Drosophila melanogaster: one gene and its partner. The protein of the gene in region 1 interacts with the protein of each later gene in a pairwise test. Each region holds a gene or a part of one and is shown in the gene's direction. Other genes may lie near its edges. The genes, in order: Regnase-1 and Lapsyn.

Region 1 (4,918 bases):
GAAAAGAAACCCACCAGCTAGTGAGTGACTTTTCTTATATCCTTTTTGGTTCGTCTTTTTCCCTGATGCTCTGTGGGATCTGCTTTTTTTTGGGATTGGGTTCAAGACCGTGTCCCGAGGCCGTAATAATAAAAACAGTAGCGGAAACTGGGTGCAGTGCACGCGAACAAAGCGTTGAGGAACAATAAGGGAAATCGCCCAGCGATTTCGTGGTAGCAAAGCGATTCCAAGGGAAATAGGCAGAAGATAAAGGCCAGAAAGAGTTGGCATTAAACTAGAGCAAAATGAAGCACATTTAAAGGCCTCTAACGGCAAACGTAGCTGTGGGCATAAATTAAAGCTCTTGTCAGGCGAAAGGCTCCACAGAAATAACCATCTCACATCCTGAAATCGACAAAAAAACCAACACACATCCGCCTTTTGCCAATGTGTCGGGAACTCATGGTTAATCAGCTTAGACAACCTCCGTCATCGGGTTCGAGGCATTTTGTTGTTTTGCCTGCTTTTTTGGGCACATCAAGAGGCCTAAGAGCAAACAAATAACTCGAGTTCGGTGGCCAAGGGGGCTTTTTTCCCTGGAAATGCTTTTAAAAATTAAACAACTGATAAATGACAAAGTTCGTTGGACCAGAAATTATCGTTTGACAAATTGGCAGGCCCCGATGAGAGCTCATCTATTGCCTGGCAACCACGTGGTGAGCAAGTCCTTTTAAGATCCTGCAGATGAAGAGCACTTACGGCGGAGCCAGACGAATTACTAGTGACCAAATGGTTCTATTGACTTGGAAAATTAACTAAGAGAAGATTTTGCGTTGAAGGATTTACGATGAAGGACTTAAAGTAAGGTCGCGAATATTTTCTTTGTTCTCTGTCCTATATGATTTCTTTTATGGCTTTATTATATTTTCCAAGATGTTTTTTGTTCACTTGCGCTGGTATTCAAGTTTCTTTAACCTCTTTTATTGTTACGCTCTGCAACACAAAACTTTGACCACAAACCCGTACACAAAAGTTAACTTGACACTCAACCACCGAAATGTAGTTAAATAGTGCATCATCAAAAAAATAGACAAGGATTCAGAGTACGGTAAGGAAAAGGACTTTACTAATTATCCGTTAAGCAGGAAAAATGCCAGCAGAAAAATCCAAACACGCTCAAAGAGCAACAATAAATTTTACGACGGCCATAATAAAAAAAGATTGGAGCACAAATTTTAGCACTTGTCGTGTGTCTGAGTCAGGAAAAATAGAGTTTCGCAAGGACTCGCCACTCAAAATGCATCCTTATCCTTTAAGGGAAACTCACTTTCCCTGCGTGCGAAGAGAATGACTCGTTGCTTTTTAAGCGGACCCATATAGTATACATATAAAGCCACCCCAAAAAGAATCCTCCCATGGCACACGTAGCAAACTTTACGTCCACTTTTATAGTTTTTTTATGTAGCGCTGTCCCACTAATTGCCACATGACTTGGCCAAAGATGACAGGACGCTGCAGGACGAAAGGAAATTAATGAAATTACTTTAGTGTCGCCGGAAGGAGGGGGCGTATTGCGTATTGTATATGCATTTATCCAATTGCACTTCGATCGTAGCATATAGATATCTATGTAACCATGATAGATGTGACCACTTATACCTAGTAAATTATTGAATTTGTGGCCAACTCGAGGCAGTGCATCCTTTTTGTCATGAAAAGGGGGACCAAACGTACAATGAAACAAAGAATTCAATACGAAAAACATGTACTTTATTTTAACTAATTAAATCGAACTAAGTGAGATCTATAAATGTTGATAGTAGAAATTGTTAAAACTATATTCGAAATACTTTATGTACAATAAATACAATAAAGAAATGTTTATGCATGTTACTAAATCGAAGCTGGTGTTTTATTTAAAAGTTGGGTAGTGTAAGGTTGGAACTAGCAAGTATTATAATAGAATAAATATAAATTTTATATACTTAAATTTTTCTATACGTTTTTGTATGGAACACGTATGTAAATACGTTTAATTGCAAGATATTCTGGCAAAGATTAAAGATTCGTTATTATGTATTAAACATACATATCTGGCGGGCATTTTAAATCTGAATAAGAGGAAGATGAATCCGTTTCCTGTTCTCCAAATTAGTGATGAGCGTATCTTATGGCGCCTAGCTCTACTACAATCGATACCAAGGCGGCAATGCTGTTTTGCTAACCAAAATGTTCGATACAATTCATCGATAAGACCGTGAATGGGCAACCCAGCTCTAGTCTGTAAATGTAAATAGACGGAACTTGCTGCAGAGAACAGCTAAAAACGCAAGGAAGCGGGCAAAACAAACAACAGGAGCGAGCAGCCGAGGGAAAGCCAGCCGCTGGTCAGTTAGATGCGCATCAAGATGGATTGCGAAGTGCAGGAGCAACACAAACAGCAGCAACAACAACAGCAGGTCCACCAGCAACAACAAAAACACGGCAGCAGCAACAAGTTGCCAGTGAGAAAGCAGGAAAGCTGCTCCGACGACGATGAGAGCCAGAGTCCCAGCCGCACAACGGAGCGCCAGAACCTGGAGTTCGCCAAAAAGCTAGGCTACAGCGAACAGTCCATCCATTCGGCGCTGACGCGCCTCGGCTCGGAAGCCAAGCAGAACGAGCTGCTGGCGGAGCTGATCAAGCTGACGGCCGATGCACCGCGGCCCGCCCACATAGGCGGAGGCGGCAGTCCATCCAGCATGACCAGCACTCTGTCCTCCCCGACCGGCGGTAGCAACAGCTCTGGCTTGAGACACATCGTAATCGATGGCAGTAATGTCGCCCTTTCTCACGGCAACAATCTAGTATTCTCTTGCCGCGGCATTCGCATCTGTGTGGACTGGTTCCGGCAGCGTGGCCATCGCGACATCACCGCTTTCGTGCCCAACTGGCGCAAGGAGATGGCGAACAACAACATAGCCGACCAGGAGCTGCTCTACGAGCTGGAGCACGAAAGATACCTGGTGTTCACGCCATCGCGACATCTGGATGGCAAGCGTGTGTCCTGCTACGATGATCGCTTCATACTCAAGCTGGCAGTGGAAACTGACGGCATTGTAGTCTCCAACGACAACTACAGGGATCTGATCCTGGAGAGTAACGAGTTTAGGCGCGTGGTGCAGGAGCGCCTGTTGATGTACTCTTTTGTAAATGACATCTTCATGCCACCCGACGATCCGCTGGGCAGATCGGGTCCAAATCTGGACCTCTTCCTGTGCTCGCAGACGCAGCAGAAAATGGCGGATGCGCAGCAGTTGTGTCCGTACGGCAAGAAGTGCACCTACGGCCAGAAGTGCAAGTTCCGGCATCACAATCAGGCGCCACTGCTGCAGCGCCTCCCGCTGCAGGCCTCCCACAGCGCGCCCCTGCACACGAACGGTGGCCAACAGTTGGTCAGTCCGGGTGGCAATAATAACAATGTTAAGATCAACTCACTGATTAGCCGGGAGCCGCTGGGGCGCACCAAGTCAAATACCATCGAGCAGGTATGTCAGGGCTTCTCCGCTCAAATGGATCTTTCAGAGGGTGCCGTGGAATCCAGCCAGCCCAATCGCCACAAGAAGCTGCAGCGCCAACAACCGCCGCCCGCCTACCGCCTGCTGGTGCCCACCTACAGTGCTCCCCTCCAGCAACAACAACACCAGGCACAGCAGCAGCATCAACAGTCCAACTCCAGCACCAACTATCACCACCAGTATCTGACGCGCACGCCATCCGCCCCGGTCACGGATCAGGGACTGGGTCTGCCACTGCCCGCTCACAACTTCGCCCATCTGTCTGCCTCCGATTCGCGCATCAACGAGGAGCTGCACGCCTCGCAGCAGCTTCCGCGGGAGGAGCAGCGCCGATTGCTGCGCTATCACCTGGGCAGCCTTTTCCCACCGCACCAGGTGCATGCCGTACTGCAGCTCTATCCGGAGGAGACCGACGCCAAGACCATATGCGCGGCTATTCTTAATTTATTTCCGCATAATTAGGCTAGGCTTAAATTTCATCAATATAATTAGATGTGTAATTACACGCGTGTTTCTGCTTAAAGTGTAAAGTGTCGCTTTGGGACGACGTGGAGTCCTCGCTCGAAATTTACATATCCAGGCCAACGATGTTGGCCGTGTCGTAGGACACCAGCCCGGCTACGGATTCCCGTGCGGACTGGCCGCGCCTCTCGTGGATGACCCGGTGGTTACGCAGTTTGTACGCCTGCGGGAATCCCTTGCCGCACACATCGCAGCTAAAGAGAGAGAGCAAACGTGTTTTAAATTGATTAGAATCCTTGATTAATTTATGTCTTCCTTATAACTTATAATATTTAAACACTAATACTTCATTCCCTGTTTATCTAATGTTATTTACGCCTCAGGCACCTAATAAACAATCAACTAAACTCAAAATATTAATATACTACGTAATATTCGTAAACAATAATCTTTTGAAACAGCATGGCTCTTTCAAAATAGTTTCCACTGTGAATTGTACATTCTTATAGAATAAAAAGTATATTTTTATAAACGATTTCCATCTCTCTATATCAAAAAAAAAACTCAATCTGGTTCTGAAGCTAGTGTATGCATAAACAATCTGTGAAACAGTGAAAGTTCGTGCTAGAGAATACGGACTGTAACCGCCAGGGGGAAAGCGAAACTTACACGTGCGGCTTCTCTCCCGTATGAATCATTTTGTGGAACTTCAAGGTGTTGGTGTAAGTGAATGTCTTGTGGCAAACATCGCACTCGTAGGGTCGCTCGTTGGTGTGGATTCTGCAAACGGGTAATTATTCAATCAAATCGGGTTTGGATTGGAGCTCACCAACTTACCTGTGGTGCTTGTTACGCGTGGACAAGTCGGCGAAGGCTGCCGGGCAATAGCTGCATTTGTACGGCCGATTTCCGGTGTGGGT
Region 2 (7,824 bases), on another chromosome or scaffold:
CACCAAGGGAACTGGCACCCATGTCGTACGACTCTTCTACCAGAGCAAGAACATCAGCGAGAAGCTTCAGGAATGTCAGTGATCACCCCGTTGTACAGTCAGATCGGACTCATATGTGCTCCATGCAGGAGATTGTGATTGGGTTGGCTAAAAACATGCGATGTATTATCCATTAAGTTGAACGAGTTAAACTTATTCAAAGGGAAGAGGAGGACACCACACGATTAGCCAAGATGCTTCATTGACTTTTCATGGAAAACCAAAATGAAAGCAATTTTTAATATTAATTAAAGAATCAATACGGAATGCAAAACATTATCACCAAAAACACAACAAAACGAAAAAAAATCGAACAAAAAAAAAAACGAAAAATCATTGAAAAAAAATGTATAAAAACAAACGAAAAATATTGAAAAAAACTTTAAAAAAAAATGTAATCTAGATAAAATTGGCACTAACCTATATATGTTAGTAGCTATTAAGGCGGATGACGATTTATTTAATTGCTCAACCTTGTTTAAAACAATTTTACATCATCAACGAAAGTTGGCGAATTGAAGAGAAGTGGAGTGAAGTTTAAACCTCCTCCAGATGAATTATTTATTTTTTCCCTTTATAACTGTATTTGTACTTTCTTTTCTCGATTAACCAACTGAAGAATCACATATGTTTTTCGTACTTTTTTTACTTTTCATTACCTAAACAAACAAGAAACATTGCAAATCGAAGACTTAAGGAAACTAAAAGGAAACTAATGGAATATGGGTTTATGTATTAAAACCTTCAATCACAATGTCATATTTTTCTACTATTTCTTTTTCATGTTGTGAACAATATATTAAAACAAACCAATAAATACGATGAAAAGTAATGCCATATAGAGCGTATATTATTACCTGGTAGTTATACCTGGAGTTCCAGACCCGGTGCCAGGTAGCAATTAGCGGTCGTCAGTCGGGGATTTATTGGATTACGATGTGGAAAAGTGGCGAACGGACGGACAGGGCTCATGTCCGTGCTTGAGGAGATCTACGGGTGCCTGGGAATTTTACCTGTTGATAAGAAGAGAATTAAGTCGTCTGCCCACATTTATGATACGGATCAAGCTCTCATTGCTGACTATCCGCGATATCATTCACATTCATTTAGTTAGTTGCGATATCATTCATACGCGTTTACAACTGTATTGTCAGCTGGCGTGGATGCTTCATTAGATGCCTCTGTATCAATTTCGATTATCAATCGCTTGCTAATTGAATGAGTGGCCGGCCAAATCAGAAATATCCACATTTGAACTGTCAAAATCCCGAAAACAATTCAATTTCCAGTCGCAGAGTGTATCAGTTTCCATTGCTGTTATCAAAGAGAGCGCTTCTCTCTCCACTCCGAATTTTCCATCCGAATTTTCACAGTGCAGTGCAGTGTCATCTGGGAGCGTGCGTCCGCTTTATCAGCATTTTTCGGTGTGCTTTGCTCGGGCGATCGGATTGTCGGAGTCCGAAAGGCCAAAAACTGAAACGATCGTTTCAATTCTGTGTCTGCGGTTGAATTGAACGGTTCCGGCCAACGTGCGCGCTCCGTAACGATTGCTATAACATTCTACGGCGTAATCATAACTAAAAAATATTGATAATATAACATATAAAGCTGTTTGAATATTACATATATATAAAATATATAAAGATCACAGAAAATCGAAGAATCCTAGAAGAGCATAGAGTGATGTGTGTGTAGTGAACTAACAAGAATCCTGCCATTTTACTAGGATTATCATCGCCGACTTTAAATGGGATTATACCTGAACACTTGAATTTCCCCAGCGGTAAGCGGACGGAAAAATCTGTTTGGATTTTTTTTGATTTTTTTTTGTTGATTATTTTGCTTTCTTGATGGTAGTATTATGGGGTCTGGCGGGTTATCGTGAATGGTGCACATAGTACTACGACTAGATTGCACAACAGCTGTGTAAGCTATATTGAATTTTCTAATCAGGAAACTTAGCATTGAAATGTGCGCCAGTCTCTGGATTCTATATGCTCTATATGCAACCAAAAGAGTCTCCACGACAGCATAATGCGATAGAATCCAAGTTAAATTGATTTCAATTAGCGGAGGCAGCACAACGGCAATTGTGAGCCTTTCTCTGTGTGTGTAGCACACATATCTTGCAGATAAAATAAAAGTTTCACTATATACTATATACTACTTGCTGTGTGTATCTACTAAAAGTAACGCTTCAGCAGGGCTGTTTATTCAGTAATTAACTGTGGTAAAAACACGTAGGGAACACCTGCTTATCAAGGCGCAGACTAATCTTTACAGCCAGTGTGTTCTGGAAAAGTAATCAAAGCCTCGAGAATAGGGAAACGTTCTCAACAAAGAAAAGTTATACAAAATGTCATATTCTTAAATAATAAACACATGATCGAAATATGATATTTTCGACTGGCATTCCGATAAAGTAGAGTAGTCACTGTATTTGGATACTTTTGTTTTTTTTTTTTTTTGTTTTTTTCAGTCCCTGGGCAAATGTTTTCTTGATTGTGTTTAATTGAAATAAATGAACAACGCTCTTTTATGCTACACCAATCTTTACGGGGCCGTTTCAATTAATTTTTTTTTTTATTGTTCTTGGCATCGCCGTTATAATTTTGAAAGAAGCTATCAGCAGAATGGGGACTTACACGATAAGAGCACTTGACGTACTCTGATAAGCTTCGGTTTTTTTTGAGGAAAATATGATTGTTACCCAATGGCATTTCTGGGAGGTGGGTGGTAATGAGAAGGTAGCCCAGATGGGAAGGTTGTCTCAAAGCAATGTTTCATCAGTGCATCAGAGAGAGAGAGAGAGAGAAGAGTCCAAACAAATAAATCTTTATCGTAGCAACGAGAAATGTGAATAAATCTCGGGGCCCTCCGGTGCACACACACACACACGCACACCTGTTGGGGGTCGGCCAGGGAGGGGGTGGAGCTGAAAGATATATATGCCGATCGGACGGGGTATAGCCGATAATATATGCCTACTTCTGCGACGCCCACAATGTGTGACAGGAACTATCACAAGAGCACATAAATCCATTCACAAATGTTTAGAATGTTATTAAAATATTTGATACTAATTTCGTGTTTTTTTTTTATCTTCCGATTTTTTTTTTTTGTGGTGGGGGATTTTCGATTTCATGTTGCGTTTTGTTAGTCCAATAATCGCTTGGCTCGGCGAACAGATAAATAATCCCTCCTCGTCATATTTATCATATCGGGCAGGCTGCAATCCGTTGGTCGACAGTCGGATACGGGCAGCTGGGTGAATGAATCGCTAGCGCCTTGGACCATTCCGATCCGTAACCCATTTCTGCCACCCCATTCGCCTTTCCATGGCATTGTTTGTCTGGTCTGCCGCCTGATTGGGTATAATATATAAATAAATATTGAAGCTGAACAAATGCGGCGAAAGTGAAAAACATAAATTGTGACCCCAACCAATAATTCCAACTCGCAAAGAACTAATATCTAAGGCTAATTCGGATTCACCATTTGATTTGCGGGACGGGATCACTTTTATGGCCATAGCCGCCAAGTGGATCTACCATTTGGTGCCTGGCATTAGCCCTTTTTATGGCCAATTTCCTTGAATTCCCAGCCCCCTAACAAAAGTTGTATAATAAAGTCAGTCAGCTGGGGGATGCGATGCAATCTCCTCAAATCCAAAAGTTTGCATTTGGTCGCCACTGTTTATGCTGCCATCTCATTCTGGCCACTGTTTTGGGCTTTTCTGGTTAATTTTAATTTAAATATATGAAATATATTTATAGCCATTGTTGCGGTTGCTGTCAGTCCAAGAGAATGTGTGTGGAAATCGCTTCAATATTTCTTTTGATATTTTCTGCTTCGTTTTTTCGCTGATTCGACAGGCGGCTCTAATGACAGAGGTAGCCGCACCACACTGGGTGGCAAAAGTGTGCGCCACGCTTCCGCTAGTGGAGCAAACATATTGGCAGAAACTGTTTTTCATTTTCTATGTTTTCATTTCGTGAGCACATGCCTCTCAAGTGGAGCGCAACATTTTTTGGTCAAAGGCCAAGACACTTCAGCTAGCTGGAAAATAGGCAAAAATTAATAAATGGTCGAATCATGATGTCTAAATGGGGACCATGAATCACTTAAATTTTTCCAAGCCAACGCAGCTAGTATGAGCAACGACGAATGGTTACTAACTTTATAATTGATTAGCACTCTTTTGTTGCCTTTGCAAGAGGCCAAGATCTTATCGGCCAACTGGGCGCTCCATATGTCTTAATTCCGCCACTTGGACGGGCTCAAAGTGATTTGCCAATATGGATGGATATCTACGACGTCGTTCATCATTCATTGGTAAGCAAGCGTTTGAGCTTCGTGTAAATAGAACTATCCACTTTTGCTGACCCGCAATTGATTTCACGGGAATTTCAGCTTCGTTGGGCGAAATGATGAAAACTTCAGCTGCGACAGCAATTAGCCCGAATGTCACAAATGGAAAATTACAATACTCAAGACATTACTCATGTTGTTCGGTTTTCATTTTCACATTTTTCACAATGCAAAATCACGCAAAGCCAGCTGATACAAAGTTGGGAAACGTGCAATTTTCTAATTGCCCTTCAATGGGGCGTAACAGAGACATTAACAATGGATTCTGGCCATTTCCAATTCCCAAATGTGCATACCGAGTGGGCTTACATGTTTAGATCATGTCTAGATATATGTACTTATCCTGAGGTATAAATCACGTCGAAGCATTCCTATTTCTGGCCCATAATCGATTATTGGCTTTCATTTTCACCAAAAACACTTATATTGCTTTTGGCAAATTTCGGGAAATGCTTTTGTGAATCTGACATATTGAAAAGAGCCATAAAGGCATTTTAATGGAATATTTGTTTGATTTATGGCTACCCCTTTTGCTGTTTGATGTAGAATCAAAAGATTTACACGCCGCACGATAAGATATTGGAGCAATGGCAAGTGCTTCCCAAAATGGCAGTGAGTCAGTTATTTTTCGGGCTAGTTGCTTTTATTACTATTATAGGGCCGCCAAATGTTTCCGCCGCCGCAATGCGGAATCATCTTTTGTTGATGTGCATGAATGCAGCGGGAATGACACTGATTGTGTGTTACGTATACGTAATATGAATATCGCGTATACGCAGGCCAACAGCAGCTGACCTAGGCTTCGAATTTGAGCTCAGTTTGTATCTGTATCTGTATCTGAGCTGCCATGGTTTAATTCCATCTGTCAGGTGCGGTAGATCCGCTTGATTGAATGCATTCAGCTTTGGATGCGAGTCCGCATTCACCCCCAAAAACCAATCAAAACCCAGACCCAGACCCCCAGCGATCGGCAATGATCTTGTAAATTGTTAATTCGAAAATAAACGCTTTGACGAGCCCATGGGCGATTGTTTGCTTAAATTTATTGTTCTAGTTTTAATCAAGAATATAAACAAGTTAGCGCCGAAATGAAGTCCCATCGTTTGGATTTACATTTTCATCTATATGTATATATGTTAATTTATTTTGGCAGAGCATGGAACTGCATTGGCAGCTGCTGACGTTCATCGTGTGCCTCCAGTTGTTGCATTCCGCCGGATTCATCATTCAGTCGGAAGTGCGCAAGTGCACGTACGGCCATATCGATAAGCTGCTCCGGATTCGTTGCTACGACTTGGACCTCAAGGAGGTGCCACAGAACCTCAAGAGTTCGGTGGAGGTGAGTAACGATCGAGGGGTCAGGCGATCAGACTTGGTCATTGCTGGGCCCCTCGTCACAGTTAGCCTCAATTGAGCTTAATTAAAGAATAAAGAAGTTGCCCACAAACATAAATTTATCCATTACACCGACATGCATAGTCGATGTGTATGGGAACCCTACCCATGCCATTCAAAACTCTCTACTGAAATTAAATGATCTGACAATTCGCTGAATGTTTTTTGCAGGTTCTGGATCTATCGCACAATCGCATCAGGAAGCTGAAAACTAGCTCGTTTCAGCGATACACGGACATTAAGTTTCTGATGCTCTATGATAACATGATCTTATCGGTGGAGGTGGGAACCTTCGAGCCACTCACCTCGCTCCAGGTAACAACGACATCCAATTAATCAACGAGTGTGTCTTTAATTAATTTCTTAATCGAAATTCCCAGGAAATTGATCTTTCGAATAATGGACTGACAACGATACCGCTGGAGTTGTTCCAGCTGCCGCGACTGAGAAACCTATACATCGATAGCAATGAGCTAACATCCCTCAATCTTCAGGCACTGGAGAAGCCCATTCGTGCTCCACTGGAGTACCTGAACGTGGCAGGTTGCGAGCTACAGGAGTTACCCGATCTGGGCATACTTCCAAGTAAGCAGAGATATGTAGATATATGGAATCTATCTAATATTGAACGATTCTCTTCAGAACTCTGGCAACTGAATGCCTCGATGAATCCGCTGCAGAACTTCAGGATCGACAGCCTGGCGAATATGTGCCACCTGCAGGTCATCGATCTGACCAAGTCGCAGTTGAGCCAGTGTGGCTGCCAGCAGGTCACCAACCATCTTATGATGCTCGGCGCCAGTCCGAAGTTCGTGCCAGTTTGCTTGGGTAAGTAGTGATGGCGATGATGGCGCTGCAGTCGGAGCAGCTGCTTATTTTTGGCACATGACCAACTTGCAATTCCATTTTCAGAGGCGCTCGACATCCGCGAGTGTCCACTGCCCTACAATCGAACGATCCATTCGCCAACATTCGCCAGTTGCCAGACGACACTGCAGTTTGCCGAAACGCGCAGCTTCTGGCTCTTTGGAGCTGGCTGCTTTGGCGGAGTTTGTTTTGTGCTTTTAAGTGAGTTACGAATTAGTTCTATTCGACATAAGTAAATACATTTCCCACCTCCCACAGTTGTCATCTTCTGCGTGATACACTGTAGGAGAAAACGAGCCCAGCGACGAAAGAGGAATGCCCAGAAGCGAAAGCCGTTTGTGATCTCGCCCAGAAACGCCATCAACAACCGTCAGCCGGAGGACGAGCCTCTGCACTGTGATATTGCCCGAAAATAGCACTTTAGTTAGTTAATTAGTTGCTTAGTTAGTTAGTTAGTCTTAGGTGCCAGTTATTTATTACCTACCATTTATGCGTTAGTTTAGCCTTAGGACAACCGTCTACCTAGCAAACTGCCTTGAATCCTTTACCAAAAATCACACAAAATCACCAAAAACCAAAAACAGCGCCATCAAAGAATATTGCCTTGCTCAAAAGCCATCGCTTATTTATTTGGTTTAATACGTAACATAGATTTAAGCCAGCAATGGAGTGGATTTTTTATAACGAATGACAATAAAACGTTGATTTAAAGAAGAAGTCTGTATTGAGTTTGTATTTAGACTTGGATATTTAGTTTCTTAACAACATTATGTATTTTTATGAATAAGGAAAAATATTAGAGATATACATTATTTGAATATATCGTTATTTATTTATTTTAGTTTAACTTAAAAATTGTCCTAAATCAATTTAAAGTGCATCAGCCTGAAAGTAGGCAAGCTATTTTGCAACCGACTTGGTGGTGAAGCCTTTTCATCACGGCCAACAAGTATGCAATGGTTTTACAGGCTTAGAGCATTCAGTTCCATGTTCAATCGACAATTCATTTTAATTGAATTACCAAATTGCTAATGAAAAAATCGTATTAATTCGATTTTAATTTATATATTAATTTCGATTTTATTAGGCTTTTTCTTTACAATTTGTTCGGCCTGCGTTCTCTTAAAATGCTTTTGTATAGTCTCGTCGCTC

The links.
Region 2: the proteins of Regnase-1 (region 1) and Lapsyn interact in a two-hybrid assay, tested with the Drosophila melanogaster proteins (one large-scale study listed by BioGRID).

What each region holds. Positions count from the first base shown.
Region 1 is NT_033777.3:20,033,376-20,038,293, reverse strand, and holds Regnase-1 (regnase 1), read left to right. Parts: upstream 1-2,237; 5' UTR 2,238-2,375; coding exon 2,376-3,998; 3' UTR 3,999-4,104; coding exon of another isoform or gene 4,105-4,252; 3' UTR 4,253-4,413; downstream 4,414-4,918. Other genes in the region: idc (identity crisis), read right to left, coding at 4,105-4,252, 4,668-4,778, 4,836-4,918.
Region 2 is NT_033778.4:21,192,045-21,199,868, forward strand, and holds Lapsyn (Leucine-rich repeat activity-regulated protein at synapses), read left to right. Parts: upstream 1-1,526; 5' UTR 1,527-1,822; intron 1,823-5,563; 5' UTR 5,564-5,566; coding exon 5,567-5,749; intron 5,750-5,976; coding exon 5,977-6,120; intron 6,121-6,185; coding exon 6,186-6,390; intron 6,391-6,447; coding exon 6,448-6,633; intron 6,634-6,717; coding exon 6,718-6,873; intron 6,874-6,930; coding exon 6,931-7,088; 3' UTR 7,089-7,387; downstream 7,388-7,824. Other genes in the region: tud (tudor), read left to right, coding at 1-82.